Linked DNA regions of Sus scrofa. The protein of the gene in region 2 interacts with the protein of the main gene of each other region in a biochemical or structural test. Links are inferred from orthologs where the notes say so. Each region holds a gene or a part of one and is shown on either strand. Other genes may lie near its edges.

The links.
Region 1: the proteins of FCHO2 (region 2) and DAB2 form a complex in vitro, tested with the Homo sapiens proteins (2 studies listed by BioGRID). The link is inferred for Sus scrofa from reciprocal best matches to the Homo sapiens genes FCHO2 and DAB2.

Annotation. Positions count from the first base shown.
Region 1 is NC_010458.4:24,591,820-24,595,635, forward strand, and holds part of DAB2 (disabled homolog 2), read right to left. Parts: intron 2,862-3,816; coding exon 2,752-2,861; intron 2,192-2,751; coding exon 2,126-2,191; 3' UTR 2,121-2,125; intron 568-2,120; 3' UTR 1-567. UniProt on the Homo sapiens protein: Adapter protein that functions as a clathrin-associated sorting protein (CLASP) required for clathrin-mediated endocytosis of selected cargo proteins.
Region 2 is NC_010444.4:82,100,011-82,104,307, reverse strand, and holds the start of FCHO2 (F-BAR domain only protein 2), read right to left. Parts: upstream 3,014-4,297; 5' UTR 2,862-3,013; coding exon 2,829-2,861; intron 1-2,828. UniProt on the Homo sapiens protein: Functions in an early step of clathrin-mediated endocytosis. Has both a membrane binding/bending activity and the ability to recruit proteins essential to the formation of functional clathrin-coated pits.

The DNA.
Region 1 (3,816 bases), on a different chromosome or scaffold from region 2:
GCTATACCTTTAAAAAGGTTCTTAGGTGTGTCAGATTCCAAAGTCCCTAAGGAAAAACTGGACTTGCTTCCATTTTACTTTAAGAATTCTAAGTGATGGTTTGAAGCAAGATTTTAAAAAGGTGCCTTGTTCTGCTACAATCTTTAGGTTCTATGCTCTGAAACAGAACCCCCAAACACTTTGAATAATGAGGATTTTAAAATTTATTCAAAACAGTATGATCTGAGGGGTTGATGTGGTTGCGTTGCCCAACCAGAGGGTGCATGGCAAAGTGTTCTAGAAAGTTCTAGGGACACAATAGGCAAGGGTTCAAATAGGGAAACTACTTCATTTACATTTAAGCTAGAGAGTTTAGGTTCTTAATTTATTTAAAGCCATAGATTCAGCTTAGCTAAACAGAAAGCAGAAGGCATGCTACAAGTGGAAGAGACAGCAAGAAATAAGGCAACAGATAATATGTCAAAGCTAGAACAAGGGCAGAGGTCAGGACTTGTCTGCTTATTAGCTTTGTCCTTGACTACTAAGGCCAACCTTTTTGTTCCTCTGGATAGTCAGCAGGCCAAGTTCCTAGAGAAGTATGGAGAAGAAAAAAAACCCTGGTTAGAAGTTTTTGATTGAGGATCAAGGTACTCAATCATGTCGTTATTCAAAATGTCAGTATCTCCTGGGACTGATTCAAGAGGCTTTGATGAGATAACGGATTGTAGAACCTTAACGAACTGATTAACACAAGTGCTCAATAATGTTAGCTATTTTCTCCCCTGACAGTTCTCCTCCCCACCAACCCCCAATATAAATTTAGTAGCTTAACCAAAATTATCCTTCCTTCATGACCTAAAGAAGAAAGGGCCTCCAAAAAGAATTCTCATCAATTCAATTTAGTGCAAGTAATCCTCCTAGGCTTTTAGTGGAGTTTATTCCTTTCTATTGGTTCCTGTATGCCTCCCCTGGAGAAGAGGGAAGAATGTGTCTGCAAGACTTCCAGCCCTTCAATATATTCAATATATTCCACTGCTTGATTAACATCAGCCATCATCTGGATGTTTGTAAAAATGAAGCATTTTCTCAGCACTGAGGGGGATTCCTTTGGGCTGGGGTCCAGGAATTTGCCTTTGTGGTTACCTCACTCAGGTCTCTGAAATTGGTTTTATGGAAAAGCACTTTAAGAAACACTGTAATTACAGAAGTGGGGTGAGGTGCAAATAAACTCAAATCTCATTTTTGGTATCAGATTTCAGATATTCACCTCTTTAAAATGATTAAATTCTAGATGGATCAAGACATAGTTTAGCAGTCTCACTTGAATGGGGGCAAGACTGAAAAAAAAGTGGGTTTGGGTTCTTTTCATTCTTCTTGTTTGCCCCTTCCAGCTATACTCTACCTCCTGTAACATGCAGATAAACCTCTCCTCCACTAACTTCAATCTTTGAAGATTAGATAAAATTGTTTCCACTCACTGTTGAGAAAGACACACCCACTCCCCACCCCCTCCTGCCCCTTCCCAGGTCTCTACCTACAGTGGTTAAATAACTCACCAAGGACAAAACCCACTAGCGGACTCATCTGAACTTAGACTGCTCTTGAAGGAGATATGGGCAGCTGTCACTTCTTTTGGATTTAATACCACCACACTGTGGCAAACTAATTTTGAGGCCCCTCACAAAGAAATACACATAGATTTGAGAGGCAGATGTGTTGTGATCATTATCTGTTTGGCAGACCTGGTTGGTGGCTTCAGAAGGTCTTCAGATTTTGAAGCTTCTATAGAGAACCAAGTGATTACTAGGAAGCTTTGCAATCACTTCAATACGAAGGTCAAACATCCAGAAGGCTGTTATGTGTTATACTGAGTTTTACTTCTCTATAGAAGTGAAATATCAAAAACACAGGATGATAGAAATCCATATGCATATGAGTAAACCACTGATTTTTATATGTATAAGAATCCTATTCATAAATGCCCAGCCTAGTCATTAGTGAATTAAATATAGATTTCCATGTCTTTTACTTTTACATTACAGAGATTTAACTTCTTCCCAGATCTAAAATTAAAATTTCACCCTTACCCTCTGTGACACCCTTCCCCACCAAACCTAAGCTTAATAGGATCATCTACTTACAGGAGTTAGGCAAAAGGATTTCCAAACGGGTCCCTATATACATCGGAAGATGTGGGTTGAGGAGAAGCCATCTACGGAGATAAAAGCATCTTGTCAATAACTATAATTGCAATAAAAAAACACCTAAAATTTTGACTTCTCAAATTCCTTTAAATATCATTTAGGTCATAGACGAATCAGATGGTATAAGTGTCTATGAAGATTTGTGTTTGCCTGCTTGTGACTGGTGATGCATATTTGTTATTTACATCAAAACCAAGATTTAGAATTATGTTTGCCTTCTCCCAAATATAAAATACTATTTTTATGAGCTAAATAGTCATGGGTGGAAAATTAGGAACTTAAATATCTGAAAGATTTTTAAAGATAGTATCTCGGCTCAATTTTTTTTTTTTTTAAGTGAGATAAAAGGACTTTTTATATGAGGTTTGTTTCTCCAGTTCAGGAGAGTAGTTCCTGCAAAAATAATCTTTCCCCAGTTTGAGCTGATGTTTACACTGTGCTGGTTCTCAATGGTAAATCATATTCAAATGTCCTTTACAGACAAAGAGACAAGCAGGGTTAGTTCAAGGGGCAGTAACTCTATGTGGCATGTACTTGGGAACAATGGCTCCTAGCAGGCGATACTTACAGAGGCTTGTGATGAACGGAAAGGATCTTTAGAGAAGGGGTTCTCAAATGCAGTGTCAGCGGATTTGGTAACTGGCAGGGCACCTTGTCTGGGAGCTGGCTTTGGCAGTTCTAGAAGGTGAAAAAGCAGTCAGTAGACAAGTTTTCCCCAAATACGTACACAAGTCCTCCAGTCAGGCTTATCTTGGAAATCGAGTTCCATACTTTTGAAACTGACATCTGTGGAACAAAAATCACTACCACATCCTGGGACTCTGGGTGATTATTACAGGCAAATTCATCCCTTCTTGGAAGAGGAAGCCATGCACATTCATTTGAAGTGGCAGAGCTTCAGAATTACCTCACTTAAAAGCACCTACACGGCAAAGCTTCATTAAGCCTTGAGGCCAATTCAGAAAAAAAGGCTCCGAGAGATTAACTCACTCTGAAGACTAGTCAGCTAATACAGTATAGCTAGCATTCAAATGCTGGTTGCATGTCAAAGCCCTTTCTTTCTTCTACACTTTTTAAGCTTTCCTTGTTAGATGAGTAGTATAGTCCATACATACCTACTCATGAAAATCAGTCCTTTTCACACAGCCCTCCAGGTGTCACAACCCATTGAATTACAGTAGCTCTTGGCAGCCTTTTAAAAAACCGTCACAAGAGTTTGTATCTACTAAGTCCAAACTAGTAGATGCAAACTATTGCATTTGGAGTGGATAAGCAATGAGGTCCTGCTGTACACCACAGGGAACTATATCCAATTGCTTGTGATGGAACATGATGGAAGATAATATGAGATAAAGAGTGTATATATATATATATATCTGGATCACTTTGCTGTACAGCAGAAACTGAGAGAACATTGTTAATCAACTACAATAAAATTTTTTTTAAAAAAGAATTGTCACAAGATGGCAGCATTGGGCCAGCCCCTAGAAACAGCTAAGGTAAACAGTTAACTCGATAAGGTTGTCTCCATGATGCCTGATAAACAACAACAAAAAAAGCAAGAGTAAGGCTCCTGGTGGGTTGGAAGAGGGTTCTTCTGAGGGACTCTGCGGGCCCACACGACAGTGAAAGA
Region 2 (4,297 bases):
AAAAACCTGAACAAAAATGTTCATAGAAGCAGTATTCATAATAGGCAAAAACATCAAAAAAAAAAAAAAAAAAAAAGCTATGTTCAAAACTCAATGAACAGGGGTTACCACTGTGGCACTTCAGGTTAATGATCTGGTGTTAACACAGCTGCAGCCTGAGTCCCAGCTGTAGCTGGAATTTGAGCCCTGGCCCAGGAACTTCCATTATGCCATGGGGGTGGCCAAAAAAGAAAAACAAAGGAAGAAAAAACCCTCAATGAAGAGGAAACAAAGGATAACCTTAAAATGTTAATGTGCAATTTGGAATTAAGCTAGCAAACTTCAAAAACACACTTATGCATCCAAAAAAATACAAAACAGGCTAAGAATGTCAGATTTTAAACATTCTTTATGTAAGTTTTATACATTGCCATTGTAAAACTTAAATCTAAAGTCAATAGGCTAAATCTAAAATTCATATGGAAAACCAAGGGACCCAGAGAAGCCAAAATAATCTTGAAAAAGAAGAAAAAAGTTGGACTTTCCCACTCCAAACTTACTACAAAGCTATAGTAACCAAAACAGTGTGGTACTAGCATGATAGATGATGGAATACAAACAAAAATCCAGAAATAAACTCATGCATCTATCATAACCTGACTTTCAATAAGAGTGCCAAGACTATTCAACATGGGTTGTGGGGGGGTATATTTTCAACAAATGGTACTGGAACAACTCAATACCCACATACCCACATGCAAAGAATGAATCGGTACCTCTTCTTGGTACACTACAAAAAAATTAACTTCAAATGATCATAGGCCTAAATGTAAGAACTAAAACTACATATAAAACCCACAGAAATGACACAGAAGTAAACCTTCGTAATTTGGGGTTAGGAAAGAATTCTTAGATATGACAACAAAAACATACGTGATAACAGAAAAATGAGATAAATTGGACTTCAAAATTAAAAAGAGACAACCCACAGAATGGGGGGAAATACTAACAAAATCATTTACCTAAAAATCAAAGCCACAATGAGATATTACTTACATTCCTCCACTACAATAAAAAAGATAACAAATGTTGTCCACCATGTGGAAAAACTGGAAGACTCAGACATCACTAATGGGATTGTAAAATGGTGCAACCACTTTGGAAAATGTCTGGCTCTTCCCCAAAATGTTCAATAGAGAGTTACCATATGACCTAGCAATTTCATTCCAGAAAGAAATGAAGACATTTCTAAGTTTTATACGTCCACATAAAAACTTGTACGAAAAGTTTATAGCAGCATTATTCCTAATAGTCAAAAAGCACAAACCACCAAAGATCTACCACTGATGAGTAGACAAATAAAATGTAGTATACATATGTGCGTGTCTGTATGCATACGCTGGATCACAAATTCGGGTAAAATAATGGAATTATGTCCTGACACATGCTATATCCTAGGTGAATCTTGGAGCCATGCTAAGTGAAAGAAGCTAGTCACAAAGCCACATATATGAACCCATTTATATAACTACGTCCAGAATAGATAAATCTACATAGGTAGAAATCTAGAGATTAGGACTAAAGAAAGAAGGAAATTGGGAATGACTGCTACAGGATACCGTGATTCTTCCTGAGGTGATGAAATTGTTCTAAAAGCGTGGTGACATTTGCACAACTCTATGAATACACGAAAAAATTTGAACTGTTTACTTAAACGGGTGTATTGTATGGCAGGTGAATTATACCTCAATAAAGCTGTGTTAAAAACAAAAACCCCAACGTCTAGTATTTATGTCGCGTGTGGAAAACAAGAAACATTCAAGACTAATAATTATGAACCGATGTGATTACTAAGCAAGTCCCCGCTTGAAACATTTGGAAATTAAGAATTTAAGACACACTCCTTACTCACTGAGAGTACTGCTTTAAATATTTCTACATCTTAAATTAAAATGGAATTGTGGCACATGCAACTGTCAAGCCATAAAATGGGATTCCTGAGATACCTAAGTAAACATGCTACTTTCCTGTACATGGCTGAACTGTACTTCCCATTACAACAAACAATAACTGCAGAAAAACACTCCACAGGGAGACTGGGAACTCATTCTCAAAGAACCAGCTAACACTAATACGGAGTTAAGAGGACGGGTGTGGAAAGAATGAGGAAGGGGAAGGAGCACAGGGCACAAGGAGAAGTATCGGTGCATTTAAGCCCAAGGAATCCAGTTACATTAAATTCAACTTTTCTGCGCTTTGTGAACAGGCCCAGAGGCAAAGTCCCGGGCACAGACCCACGAGCCGAGCTGCGAAGCCGAGAGGAAGTGCTGATCCAGCCCAAGCCCGCACGGGAATTCGTGGGGATATGGTGGGGGGGCAAAAAGGCTAAGATGGGGGCCTGCGGGGCTGGAAGGAGGCGAGCTCCCCCCGGCCGGCACTCGCCTGCTGCCCGCGTCTGGGAGCGGCCGCGCCGCGGGCCCGGCGTCCGCGTCTGAGCCGCGGAAGGCGCCCGGCGCCGGGAGTCTCCGGCGGGGCCGGGTCCCGTCTCCCGCCCCATCCGGCGCTTTGTCCCAGCGCGGGCGGCCGGCAGCCCCTCGGCGTCCCCGCCACGGACTGAAGGGCCGCGCTGACAACACCCGCCCCCCGCAGGGGCTGCGAGCCTGCGGGTCTGGGCGGCCGGAGACCAGCCACCCGACGGGCTTCACCCGGGCAGGACGCAGCAGGCGGCGGTCCGAGGACGCTGGCCCTGCCCGCGGAGCCGCCACCGCCCGAAGCGCACGCAGGCCGAGGTCAGCCGCCGAAACTCTCAGACTCCGAAACCCACACAATGTCCAACATCCTTCTCTTACCCAAAAATTCTCAACGAAATGCGCCATGACCATCGTGCCACCGCCGCCGCACCGGGTTCCGCGTCCGCGCCCTCCCGCCGCCGGGTAAACACCGGCCCGGCCCCCACGGCGCCCCCGCCTTTCGCCGCCGCCGCCGCCGCAGCCGCCGCCTTCTTCCCGGAGACCGGCCGGCACCCTCTAGGGCGCATGCGCCACCTAGCGGCTGCAGCCGCGGGGCGAACACTCAAAAGCCGCGGCTCGCTTGCGCATGCGCCCCGGGCCCCATTCCCGGGATTTAGTCCTTTCCACTCCTGCCTGCGCGGGCGCGGCTAAGACAGTATTCTCTAGGGAGTGGTGGAGAATCCGGTCCCGGAGCAGGCACCCCGGAGACTGCCCGCACCCTTCGCGGTGTCATGAGTACTGGCTCAAAAACGGAGCGAAGAGAGGGGCCGGCCAAAGACGGTGGTACCGGTGCCGGCTCCTCTTCCTTCTCGGAAGACCCACTCCCTGTGCTTTCGAGGATCTCGAAGGAACCCAAGTCGGGCTAAACTGGGATAGGGGAAACTTGGCCTCAAGCCATAAGGAGGAGACTGAGAAACCTTTCGTCAACAAGGCGCCTTTCCTTGACAGGGAACTAAGAACCAAAACAAAACTTTTCGAAGCCGGAAAAGAGGAAACGCCCTGTCGCCTGAGAGCCCTGGGCGCTGCTGGAGACCCAGGCACCAAGTCCTTGGCCGAGGCCGCTGACCTATGGCCTGCCTGGAGCAAACCAGCCGGTACTGCCTGCCGACAGCTGGAACGTGACCCGAAACCAACCAATTTCCCCGACCGAGGCAGTTTTGGTTTTGTGTGTGTGTGTAAGTCTCTTGGAGAAGTTGTTCATATAAATCCATGCTTCTCTTAACAACTTGTACCTTTTGGACAAAAGAAACAAGTTTACACACGCCTCAGCCTAATAGAGACACTAAATCCCCTTCCCACGCCTTGTTTTCCAAAGGTTTAGGGGGAAAATATAAACCAGGTCATTTAAATCCACAATCTACCGTTCTTAATGCCAAACCCGACAGTAGATCTAGTGTAGCTTTTACCATACATGCATGTCACACCTCCTCAGAGCTTGTGACTTCAAACGGTAAACCACCACCGTTTCTTCATGGCAAATTATTTTCATCCTCAAAAGCAAAAACCACACAGTGCCTTACCCATAGATGAAGCTGTTGAAGTATTTGCTAGTGGGAATCATTGGATAATGGCCCTGTGATTATATCTTTTTTAGAATATCTTTTAGAAATATTTAGGATGTGTGAATAAAACATCTAGGATTTGCTTTAAAGTAAGTTAGGGAGAGAGGAGGACTGAGTAGGGGTATAGATGAAAAAGACTGACCATGCATTGGTAATTCTTAGAGCTTGGCAATGGAACAGTGGTGGTTCACTACACTACCCTTTCTCTTTGGTTAGGTCTGTGTGTTCCTTTCTTGAAAAGGTCTT